3 linked regions of the Sus scrofa genome follow. The protein of the gene in region 2 interacts with the protein of the main gene of each other region in a biochemical or structural test. Links are inferred from orthologs where the notes say so. Each region holds a gene or a part of one and is shown on either strand. Other genes may lie near its edges.

Region 1 (3,641 bases), on a different chromosome or scaffold from region 2:
CCTATAAAAAAGATGAGCATGGAGCTCCTGTCATGGCTCAGCGGAAACGAATGTGACTAGACATACAGGAGGACACAGGTTTGATCCCTGGCCTCCCTCATGGGCTAAGGATCCAGCATTGCTGTGAGCGGTGGTGTGGGCCATAGACGAGGCTCGGATCCCAAAGCAGCTGTGGCGCAGACCAGGAGCTATAGCTCTGATTGGACCCCTAGCCTGGGAAATTCCATGTGTTGTGGGTGTGGCCCTAAAAAGACCAAAAAAAAAAAAAAAAAAACCATCTTCAATACCACTCCAGTTTAAGAACTGAACCCACATGGATAGTTTTACTTTGAGACTTATGTCTGTCAGTCTTATCACAGATGTTGAACACAATACAAATACATATAAAAGAGTAAGCCTGATGAACACAACAAAGTATCTCCAAGGCTAGCCAGCTCCATTCTCCCATTTCAAGCTGGGCTGGATGTGATCTCATGTGCCTTATTTCTGGAATGAACCTGAAAACGAGGCAGCTTCCTGCAAAAGTCAGGTCAAGGAGCTTCAGCCAAGCGGACACACGCAGTGCAAGGCTAACTGCTGTGGCGGATGGGCCGTGGAGAGCGTGGGTTCTTTCTCTGCTGGGGAGCAGGGGGCACAGCATAAACTATTCATAGAAGAGGAGGGCAGGGCAGTGAAGTCCAAGCTGCTCAGAGCCGACGTGTCTTGCCCAAACCACAAGTGTGCAAAAGACACGAGACCCTCACACCTCAGGGAGGCAGGCCGGCGGGCTGGGGCTTCCTGCCAAGACCAGCTACCTGCATCTTCGGCCAAGTGCCACAAAGACTGGGCACACACAGCAACAAGACCGAGCACTGAAAAGGAATCAAGTACTGCAGAAAACCACAGACACAGTACAGACCCAGCAGGTCCTCCACCATCCTAGATGCTTCCTCCGAGGGGCCAGTGTTAAGTTCTTCAGTCTGGTAGGGTAAGAGGTCCACTCACTGCTGCCCAGAAAATGCCATATTCAACTCAAATGTCCGAAAGCCAAGCCTGTACCGCCACATCTTGGCTTAGATGACCCTCATTTAGTTTATTTAGCTTATTACATATGAGACCACTGATTCTCACTGGTCAGTCTTCTCTCAACTTCCACGAGTGTTGCCTTAGCCAGAATTCTAACTGTATAAACTGTTATAATACCTGCAGACTTAGAACTTTATTCTAGGAAGACAACTTCAAAAAAGAAAAATCCACTGAAAATAATATTGGAAGTCACAACTTTGCCTCTTCAGAATAGGGCATCTTGAGATTTAAAATACTGTCAATTATAGATACCATTATAGTTAAAACATTTACATTTTAAATTAACATTGTTCCCTTAATATCCTCTAAGCTATTTAGACAAATTTAGGTAAATATTAAAAATACTTACATTATCTACTGATTTAAGCCTGAGCCCAATTTTTCCATCTTGATCCTTACATAAAATGACTTCACGAATCCCTTGCTTAATTTCTGCTCTACGGATTCCAGCGTCATTACCAGTTACAGGAGCCACCATATAGTTCATGCTGGAAGGTCTTGCAACCAACTGCTGACAAAAACACAAATATATACAATATATACAAACAGTCTCCCTAAAAAAATCTAAAAAATATATTCAGTTGTGGTTTCACAAAATGTAATCTGCAAATTACTTCCTTCAGATAGTCTGATTTTTGCAAAAATGATCCTTTAAAAGTTTTGCCTCATGATGTTTAATGTGGACTTTGGCTTGTCTTCAACTCAAATGTATTATCCTTGAACTTTTATAAAGGCCATATCACACTGCTGAAATTCGCACAGCATCTTCCAGAGGGTTCTGTCATATGACCTCATCTTCAACAATCTACTTACCCTTTCAGAGTTTCTATAAAAAGGGTAACTTTAAATCCACTGTGAAGACTGAAAGAAAAGTGTACATCAGATGAGTGCTGACCCACACAAGACAAACATTTCTCACCTATGGATTAACCATCTCTGGACAAACCAGACTGCCCTAGAATAGCTGCCCCAGGGCTCAGTAAGGTACTGTTTCAAGATCCTCATATTTTTCAAGTTTTCTTGAAGCACTGACCTACCTAATAACTGTGGTGCTCAGAGTAGCAATAATAGGGAAAACTACACATACATATACTGCAGACTGCAAATTGATTTGTTCAGAATTCATGGTAATTCCAACAGCACATTCTAAAGTTGATAACGCACAGCAACGCTACAAATTACAATACCAGAAAATATTGTTTTTAAGGAATTACAAAGATTCAATGATTATAGGGGACTATAAATCAAGTAATGAGATAGAAAAAGAAAAACATAAGAAAATGAATTTAGCTTAGCTGGAATATAGGACAAAAAGGAAGAGCTTTGGAGTGGGTTTTCCTTTTGGAAAAGTAATTTTTTTTTTTTTTTTTTTTTTTTGCTATTTCTTGGGCCGCCCCTGCGGCATATGGAGATTCCCAGGCTAGGGGTCTAATCGGAGCCATAGCCACCAGCCTACGCCAGAGCCACAGCAACGCGGGATCCGAGCCACGTCTGCAACCTACACCACAGCTCACGGCAATGCCGGATCCTTAACCCACTGAGCAAGGGCAGGGACCGAACCCACAACCTCATGGTTCCTAGTCGGATTCGTTAACCACTGCGCCACAACAGGAACTCCTGGAAAAGTAATTTTTATTTCTTCTAGCAAGTATTCTCAAGAACTTACTACATGTTCTTCCACTGCGAGCATATGAGCAGCATCCTATGACCTTTGCCCCCTTGCCCATTCTGACAAATGACATGTGACAAGGGCTACTCTCACAACCTTCCAGATCAGCTCTGCTTCAGCTCCTGCCCTTCCACTAACCATTCTCCACACAGCAGCACAGAGATCAGATGATACCCCTGATTATCTTCCACAATGCAGACCCCAGTCCCTCACCACCACTAACCCTCCAGGGCCATCTGCCTCCACATTCTGCCTTGTCTGCCATCACCAAGGCCTTATCTTGGGTCTACAAGTTCTCTTCTGTACTTGGAGTTCTCTGTATGTACTGACGTGTGGCCAGCAAAGCATAAAACACTTAACATGGGTCTCTTAATAGACAATGTTGAACCTCAATTTTGTGAGGAATTGCATCTTTTAAGGGGAAACTACTCCATAAAGAAAAGTGTGGTTATACTGAGTGGTCGAAGGAGCAGGCAGCGCCAGGTATGAACCTCCTACCCATCACCTGCAAACCCACCAGTCCAGACTCCACTTGGACTGTGCAAAAGACACTGTCCTCTGTGGTTCCTGGCCAGCACCCTGAGAGGCACCAGAGGGAGACAGGGTGGCTGGGGGAGGGGCAGGCGCCTGGCTCCTTCCTGTCTGCTCTGGCTTTGGTCCGCACTGCCTGGAGCTAGCCCTTCGCCCTGCCGGCAGCAGTGGATTCCATTCTCCAGACTTTACCACACCCCCAAATCAGACCTCCAAACCCCTCCGAGGTGACAGTACCCACAGCAGTGTCCCCTCCTCTGAGGCCCGGCTCACACCCTGAAACTCTAACCTCTGACCTGTCGTCAGAGAAACAGCTACTTTCTGCAGAGACATCTGTGTTCCATTTTTGTTTTAAATATTTACTATGATTTCTATT
Region 2 (4,350 bases):
CTCACCGTGGGCAGCAGAAGCAGCAAAAGCAGCAACTTTTGCAAACATGCATCCCAATCAGAAATCCCTCAGGGCTCCAGCGCCTGGAACTGAGCTGACAGAAGGAAAGGGCTCCGCCAGGAGTAACGTTTTCTAAGGCGTAAGATTGCTTTGTGCGTGAGTGTGTGAGAGAGAGAGGGAGACAGAGAGGGAGAAGCAGATTTTTCCTTTCTCAACATTGTCATTTTCCTGCATGGGAATTCAGGATATTCCTCGCTGTCCAGCGAGAAGGGAGAGCGGCCCCCCTCCCTCCTAACTTCTGATCTCGTCGGGAGTAAGCAGGGCGCGCGCGCGAGCGCCCATTGCCTTCAGCAGGGCGAAGATTTGACCGGGAACAAAAGAACGCTTGCCAATCGGAAAACGCTACCCGAAAACAGGATAACTTCTCTTTGTGTTTTGAAAACTAATTAGCAAATGCCCTTGGTTTCTAATACCCATTTAAACTTTTCAACGCATATTCCAAGGATCAAATCATTGCTTCTGCGACAAAGATGGGATCCCAACACGCCGCAGAACTAAGAAAAAGAGGATAAATACTCTCTCTAAACCGTACAGTGTTCCTGGGCACTCGGGTCGCAGGTTTTTTGTTTTTAATAGCCATTTCCCCCAACACTGTTTTCTTATGGCTCCATTAAAGCTATACCAGATCGCTAGACCCTGGGCCGTGCTCGCGGGCAGGGTGACTTGGGGTCGGGGTCCCCAGCGCCCGCGGCTCCCCAACCCTCTCCCCTCCAAGGGGTCTGCACTTCCTCCCGCCTTACGTCGGCCCCTTCGCCCGACTCCAATTTCTTCGCGGTCGCGGCCCCTCCTCCTTTTTACAACTGGGAGCGGGGATGAGAGGGGATTGTGGCCTCACGTGGTCTGTTAGAGTCGGGGGAGAGAAAAGCAATCCGCGATGCGCACCCTTTTCTGGCCCCATAGTGAACCCTTCATTTAGGACCCCGCTACCCAAAAGTCCCCCGCCAAGCCCAGCATTTTCAGCTCGGGGAGGGCTAACGTGACTCCGAGTCACGTCCCTATCTGCCGTGGCGCTGCTCTATTCTCAGCTTCTCCCCGTAAACTTCCCCCGTGCGCCCTTCTATTCAGGAATGTGTATTTTAGAGTACCCGGAAGAGGAACAAATCTTTCAAGCAAATTCCCTTTCTGGTGCGTTCCCCCCTCCGCTCCCCCCAGCGAATTCACGGTAAAAGTTTTTCTTAACTTTTCCCTCCCAGCCCCCGCCCCTCCCCTCAGGAATCCGCCCAGAGCGCTGCAGACTGTGCCTCTCGGGTTCCCTCGCCCGCCCCTTCCGACTTCCACCCAATCCGGAGGCGACCACACAGAAAACAAAGGCTGCCATTGGGCGGTCTTGGAGCTCCAGGGCCCGCCCCCGGAGTGGTTTGTGAATGGGGGGAGGGGAGAGGGCGGGGCGGCCCGGAATCCTGCGAGCGCGACGCTTCTTCTGCGGAGTTGCTGGGCTCCGAGACGTTACTCTGCGCTCCCTCCCGGCGGGCGGCGGCGGCGGCGGGCGCCGCGACTCACCGGCCGGGGCTGCGCGGGACTGGAGAGGCCAGGCCCAGGCCGCGAGCACGGGGGCCTCATAGCTTTGGACGCAGTGTGACTGGATTTCTTCAAAGAACTCGCAGAGCTCTTGGCTCCAAGACGCCGATAGGACTCAGAACGAGAATCAACCGTTTGGCTGAAACTTGGGGACAAGCTTTTGGGGCTGAAAAAGGAGCAGGGAGTGGAGAAGAAGGCGGCGGAGAAGGAGGTGGCGGCGAACTGAGCCTCGAGGCAAGGAGGCGGAGCAGCACCGCAGAGGCGGCGGCCTTGGCTAGCAAGCCGCGGCGCCGGGCTCTCGCTCGCCGGGGGCCCAGACGCAAGCGGGGGGCGCGCGCGTTACTGTGCGCTGTGAGTCAAGAGACTTGGGCAAACTTTGAAGGGTAACCGGAGACGCTTGTTGCTCTTCGCCGCAGAAAGAGCCGCACCGTTACGTCCCGGCGCGAGGAAAAGGCGTCTCCCCCCCATCGGCGCCCCCGGCCCAGGCAGACGTGTTTGGGCCCCCGGCGGCTGCGCGAGTGCTGGGCGGAGGCGGCGGCGGCGACGGCGCCCTTGCGGCGCGAGCACCCTAGCTACAGCGCCCTCGGCTCCGCACCGCCCACGGCCCGGCCCCGGCGCCGGGAGGACTCTCATGCGCCCGGCGCGGCGGCGCCTGCCGGGATCCCAGCCTCTCCTGGCTGTCTTGTCGCGTTTCTTGGGCTGAGAGCGCCGCTGCACCCGCGGCCGGCGATGCGGGGCCCCCGCACGGCAGCGTCGCCCTCGCCTCTGGGCCTGTGCACCATGGTGCTTGCAGTGCTGGGCGCACTGCCCGCGGGCGCCGGGGCGCAGCCGTACCACGGCGAGAAGGGCATCTCAGTGCCGGACCACGGCTTCTGCCAGCCTATTTCCATCCCTCTGTGCACGGACATCGCCTACAACCAGACCATCCTGCCCAACCTGCTGGGTCACACGAACCAAGAAGATGCGGGCCTCGAGGTGCACCAGTTCTACCCGCTGGTGAAGGTGCAGTGTTCTCCCGAGCTGCGCTTCTTCCTGTGCTCCATGTACGCACCCGTGTGCACCGTGCTCGATAAGGCCATCCCGCCGTGCCGTTCTCTGTGCGAGCGTGCCCGCCAGGGGTGTGAGGCGCTCATGAACAAGTTCGGCTTCCAATGGCCCGAGCGGCTGCGTTGCGAGAACTTCCCTGTGCACGGCGCCGGCGAGATCTGCGTGGGCCAGAACACGTCCGACGGCTCCGGGGGCCCAGGCGGCGGGCCCACCGCCTATCCTACAGCGCCCTACATGCCCGACCTGCCCTTCACCGCGCTGCCCCCGGGAGCCGCTGACGGCAGGGGCCGCTCGGCCTTCCCCTTCTCGTGCCCCCGCCAGCTCAAGGTGCCCCCCTACCTGGGCTACCGCTTCCTGGGCGAGCGCGACTGCGGCGCCCCCTGCGAGCCGGGCCGCGCCAACGGCCTCATGTACTTTAAGGAGGAGGAGAGGCGCTTCGCCCGCCTCTGGGTGGGCGTGTGGTCAGTGCTGTGCTGCGCCTCGACGCTCTTCACGGTGCTCACCTACCTAGTGGACATGCGGCGCTTCAGCTACCCGGAGCGGCCCATCATCTTCCTGTCGGGCTGCTACTTCATGGTGGCCGTGGCGCACGTGGCCGGCTTCCTGCTGGAGGACCGCGCCGTGTGCGTGGAGCGCTTCTCAGAAGACGGCTACCGCACGGTGGCGCAGGGCACCAAGAAGGAGGGCTGCACCATCCTCTTCATGGTGCTCTACTTCTTCGGCATGGCCAGTTCCATCTGGTGGGTCATCTTGTCGCTCACTTGGTTCCTGGCCGCTGGCATGAAGTGGGGCCACGAGGCCATCGAGGCCAACTCTCAGTACTTCCACCTGGCTGCGTGGGCGGTGCCCGCTGTCAAGACCATCACCATCCTGGCCATGGGCCAGGTGGACGGGGACCTGCTCAGCGGGGTTTGCTACGTGGGCCTGTCCAGCGTGGACGCGCTGCGGGGCTTCGTGCTGGCGCCCCTGTTCGTCTACCTCTTCATCGGCACGTCCTTCCTGCTGGCCGGCTTCGTGTCGCTTTTCCGCATCCGCACCATCATGAAGCACGACGGCACCAAAACGGAGAAGCTGGAGAAGCTCATGGTGCGCATTGGCGTCTTCAGCGTGCTCTACACCGTGCCCGCCACCATCGTCCTGGCCTGTTACTTCTACGAGCAGGCCTTCCGCGAACACTGGGAGCGCACCTGGCTCCTGCAGACGTGCAAGAGCTACGCGGTTCCCTGCCCGCCCGGCCACTTCCCGCCCATGAGCCCTGACTTCACCGTCTTCATGATCAAATACCTGATGACCATGATCGTAGGCATCACCACGGGCTTCTGGATCTGGTCCGGCAAGACCCTGCAGTCGTGGCGCCGCTTCTACCACAGACTCAGCCACAGCAGCAAGGGGGAGACGGCGGTATGAGCCCCAGCCCCTCCCCCACCCTTCCTTCTCCCACCCCCACCCCCCTCGCAGGGGGAAAGGCGCGGTAGGGACAGAATTGCCGGGTGGGGGGCTTGTTTCTGTAACCTCCCTCCCCTCCAGTGAGAAGTGACCTGGAAGAGAGACGATAACGTGTAGATTTGGGACGAGGCGTGGGTTTGGAAAGGAGGCCTGAGTGGAAAGGCGGTTTGGATGAAAAGACTTGTGGCCGAGACTCCAGGGTGATGATGATGATGGTGATGATGATAACAACGCTGTAAATCCTGAACGGTCCAGGCCGACCCGGGCCAGTGGAGAGGA
Region 3 (3,641 bases), on a different chromosome or scaffold from region 2:
ACCGCGTAGGTGGAGGGGGTGCGGGCCGCTCTGTCCCCTGGGGCCGCCGCGCCGCCCGCAGCCCCTCACCCAGGGCCGCCCCCGCAGGCCTCCTCCTTCAGCAGCATCACGGACTCCACCATGTCGCTGAACATCATCACCGTCACGCTCAACATGGGTGAGGCCTCTGCCGCCGCCGCCGCCAGAGGGGCCCGGGGCTCGGGGGCGGGGGGCGCTTGTTCACACACCCGGCCCCGCAGAGAGGCACCATTTCCTGGGCATCAGCATCGTGGGCCAGAGCAACGACCGGGGCGATGGCGGCATCTACATCGGCTCCATCATGAAGGGCGGGGCTGTGGCCGCCGACGGCCGCATCGAGCCGGGCGACATGCTGCTGCAGGTGTGGGGCTGCCAGGGGCCGCGGGGAGGGGCGGGCGAGGTCTGCACCCCCCACCACTGTGCTGACCCCCCGCCCCAGGTGAATGACGTCAACTTCGAGAACATGAGCAACGACGACGCCGTGCGGGTGCTGCGGGAGATTGTGTCCCAGACGGGGTGAGGCGCGCGCGTGGCGGGGGGAGGGGGTGCTGCTTGGGGCCTCGCCGGTGTGACCCGCCCACCCCGCAGGCCCATCAGCCTCACGGTGGCCAAGTGCTGGGACCCAAGCCCTCGGAGCTACTTCACCATCCCGAGGGGTGAGTGACCCCCCCGGGGCTGGCGGGGCAGGGCGGGGGCGGGGGCGGGGGCGCCCAGCCCAGCCTGAAGGGCCTCTCTCCCTGTGCTCCTGTGCCCCTGTGCTCTGCCTTCTTCCCCACTGTCCATTCGTCTGTCGCCACACGGTGGCTGCCCAGCTGACCCGGTTCGGCCCATCGACCCGGCCGCCTGGCTGTCCCACACGGCGGCGCTGACCGGAGCCCTGCCCCGCTACGGTACGAGCCCCTGCTCCAGCGCCGTCACGCGCACCAGCTCCTCCTCACTAACCAGCTCTGTGCCCGGCGCTCCGCGTAAGTGGCGGCTCCTGAGATCAGAAAACGGAGGCACCCGTGAGGGCCCAGCCGAGGCGCCTGCCTGGCACGGCCACCCCCGAGGGCCATCCCGGCTTGAGCGTTGGTGCTGGTGCCAGGCCCACGAGGGCGGACACTGTACCCTGGGGTCACGGACACATGGGCGCCCACGCTCGCACCCTCTTCCCAGCCCTCTGTCTGTAGTGGGAGGGAAGGGCCTGGGGGGCCGGGCCGGGCCTGCCCAAGGGTCTGCTATCTGGCAGGGGCAGGCGGCATCCGTGTGGCCCTCACGCTGCTTTTCTGCCACTAACATGACTAATAGGCCCAGCTTGCGGGGAAGGGGGTGGAGGGGGTCTGGTCTCCGCCCCGTGGGGTCCGGTCTGCAGGGCGGGGGTGGCCTCGCCTGGTTGGCCACAAGACCTGGTGAAGCATCTCCCTGTTGGAGATGAGGCCCCACCCTCCCCGCCCCAGGCCGCTCCCTGACCCTGTGCGGGCGGTCGGGTGGGTGGTGGAGGGTCCTTGCGGCCGTGCTCGCGGCTGTGCTCCCGGCCGTGGCTGAGCGCGGGGTGTGCCTTGCAGAGCTGGAGGAGGCGCCCCTGACGGTGAAGAGTGACATGGGTGCTGTCGTCCGGGTCATGCAGCTGCCGGACTCGGGCCTGGAGATCCGCGACCGCATGTGGCTCAAGATCACCATCGCCAATGCCGTCATCGGTGCGGGGCCCTGGGCAGCGGGGGGCTTGGGGGCGGTGGGGCGCGGCCCAGGCTCCCCACCTGACGCCTGACGCCGGCTGCGCCAGGGGCGGACGTGGTGGACTGGCTGTACACGCACCTGGAGGGCTTCCGCGAGCGGCGGGAGGCGCGCAGGTACGCCAGCAGCATGCTGAAGCGCGGCTTCCTGCGGCACACGGTCAACAAGGTCACCTTCTCCGAGCAGTGCTACTACGTCTTCGGGGACCTGTGCAGCAGTGAGTGGGGGCCACGGGCAGAGGGCCCCGGAGGACCCGCCCGCCTCCCCTTACCTGCCCCCCCTCCTGCAGATCTCGCAGCCCTGAACCTCAACAGCGGCTCCAGTGGAGCCTCCGATCAGGACACGCTGGCCCCGTTGCCCCACCCGGCTGCCCCCTGGCCCCTGGGCCAGGGCTACCCCTACCAGTACCCGGGGCCCCCGCCCTGCTTCCCACCCGCGTACCAGGACCCTGGCTTCAGCTACGGCAGCGGCAGCGCTGGGAGCCAGCAGAGTGAAGGTGAGGGCCCGCCGGCCAGCGTCCAGCTCCCTGCCTGCCCACCTGGCTCTGCCCTGTTGCCCACCCCCTCCCCGCCCCCCGCCCTGTGCGCTCCCACCTGCTCTGTGCTCGGGCCCTGGGTGGCTTCTTCTGGAAGGGGTGAGTGGTTAGAAGCTTCAGGGGTTGGGGGGGGGCGCTGGTGTTCCAGACGTGGCAGAGGCCGAGGCAGGAGGTGGTGTGGGAATGGGGGCTGGGGGTGTGGGGGGACATGCGGGGCCCTGGGACGTAGTGGAGGACAGACACCTCCCCCGGCCCCCTGTGGTGGCCTGGAACCAGCAAGGGGCAGTTTCGCAGACACACGCGGCCTGTGGCGGAGATGCGTGGGGAAGTGGGGCAGAGGTGGGGGCTCGGGGTCCCCAAGGAGAAGCTTCATGGGAATAGTGTCCCAAGGCTGAGGGTCAGGGAGGTTAGCCGGCACATGCCCCTGCACCCAGCACACCGGAGGGGGTGCGGAGAGCAGCTGCTCAGAGGGCAACAGAGTCCAGGGAGAAGCTGTGTCAGGTGCCTGTGGGCCCTGGACAGGTCCAGCTGGCAGGGGGCATGCCCTGGGCGGCGGGGTGGGTGCCCGGGCCGGGCCGGTGTGTAACTCCTCTGTCCCTTGCTTTGTGCTGAGCAAGCCTTAGACTGAAGGACTAGCGGAACGGACCCTCAGGGCCGGTAAGCCAGGGTCCTGCCCCGCGCCCCTGTCGGCACGTCCCCAGCCAGGGGGCGTCTTCAGGTTTCCGGCACTTCCTGAGAGCCCAGGAGGGGCTGAGCTGAGCAGCTGGCCGGGGTTCTGGGGTCAGATCAGAGGAGGGTCTTTGGGGCGGGGCGTCCAGAACGGCCGGCCGGTGTGCGGGCGCACAGGGTCTTCTCTGGGCCTCGCTTTCTCAGCAGCAAGACCAGGCCCTTGGTTCAGGCGCTGGGGTGAGGAGTCAGGCACAAGCTGGCCTCGGCATGTCCCTGCTTGTCTGCCCCCCTCCGCTGTCCCCCGTCTGCTTCCACTGCTTCCCCGGGCGAGGCCAGCCCAGCCCTCGTGTCTGCATGGCTGCCCACCACCCCCGCCCCAGGCTCAGGACCACCGGGTTCTGCTCCTGGTTGCCCCGGCAACGGCCACCTGTCCCAGGAGAAGCCAGGCCTGACACTGACTGGCCCATTCCTCTCCCTACTTCTTGACCCCAGGAAGCAAAAGCAGTGGGTCCACCCGAAGTGCTGGCGGGAGCAGCCGTCGGGCCCTGGGTCGAGAGAAGGAGAGCCGGTCGGCTGGAGCTGGGGGCAGTGGCAGCGAGTCGGACCACACAGCGCCAAGCGGGGCCGGTGGCAGTGGCTGGCGGGAGCGTCCAGCTAGTCAGCTCAGCCGCGGCAGCAGCCCGCGCAGCCAGGCCTCGGCTGCCGC

The links.
Region 1: the proteins of FZD7 (region 2) and SDCBP interact in a biophysical measurement, tested with the Homo sapiens proteins (2 studies listed by IntAct, with this or other methods). The link is inferred for Sus scrofa from reciprocal best matches to the Homo sapiens genes FZD7 and SDCBP.
Region 3: the proteins of FZD7 (region 2) and DVL1 form a complex in vitro, tested with the Homo sapiens proteins (2 studies listed by BioGRID and IntAct, with this or other methods). The link is inferred for Sus scrofa from reciprocal best matches to the Homo sapiens genes FZD7 and DVL1.

Annotation. Positions count from the first base shown.
Region 1 is NC_010446.5:74,300,950-74,304,590, forward strand, and holds part of SDCBP (syntenin-1 CG9291-PB), read right to left. Parts: intron 1,577-3,641; coding exon of another isoform or gene 1,574-1,576; coding exon 1,415-1,573; intron 1-1,414. UniProt on the Homo sapiens protein: Multifunctional adapter protein involved in diverse array of functions including trafficking of transmembrane proteins, neuro and immunomodulation, exosome biogenesis, and tumorigenesis.
Region 2 is NC_010457.5:105,642,704-105,647,053, forward strand, and holds the start of FZD7 (frizzled-7), read left to right. Parts: upstream 1-1,460; 5' UTR 1,461-2,307; coding exon 2,308-4,032; 3' UTR 4,033-4,350. UniProt on the Homo sapiens protein: Receptor for Wnt proteins.
Region 3 is NC_010448.4:63,618,828-63,622,468, reverse strand, and holds part of DVL1 (segment polarity protein dishevelled homolog DVL-1), read left to right. Parts: coding exon 1-5; intron 6-87; coding exon 88-157; intron 158-239; coding exon 240-379; intron 380-457; coding exon 458-534; intron 535-606; coding exon 607-674; intron 675-830; coding exon 831-983; intron 984-1,562; coding exon 1,563-1,694; intron 1,695-1,780; coding exon 1,781-2,227; intron 2,228-3,427; coding exon 3,428-3,641. UniProt on the Homo sapiens protein: Participates in Wnt signaling by binding to the cytoplasmic C-terminus of frizzled family members and transducing the Wnt signal to down-stream effectors. Plays a role both in canonical and non-canonical Wnt signaling.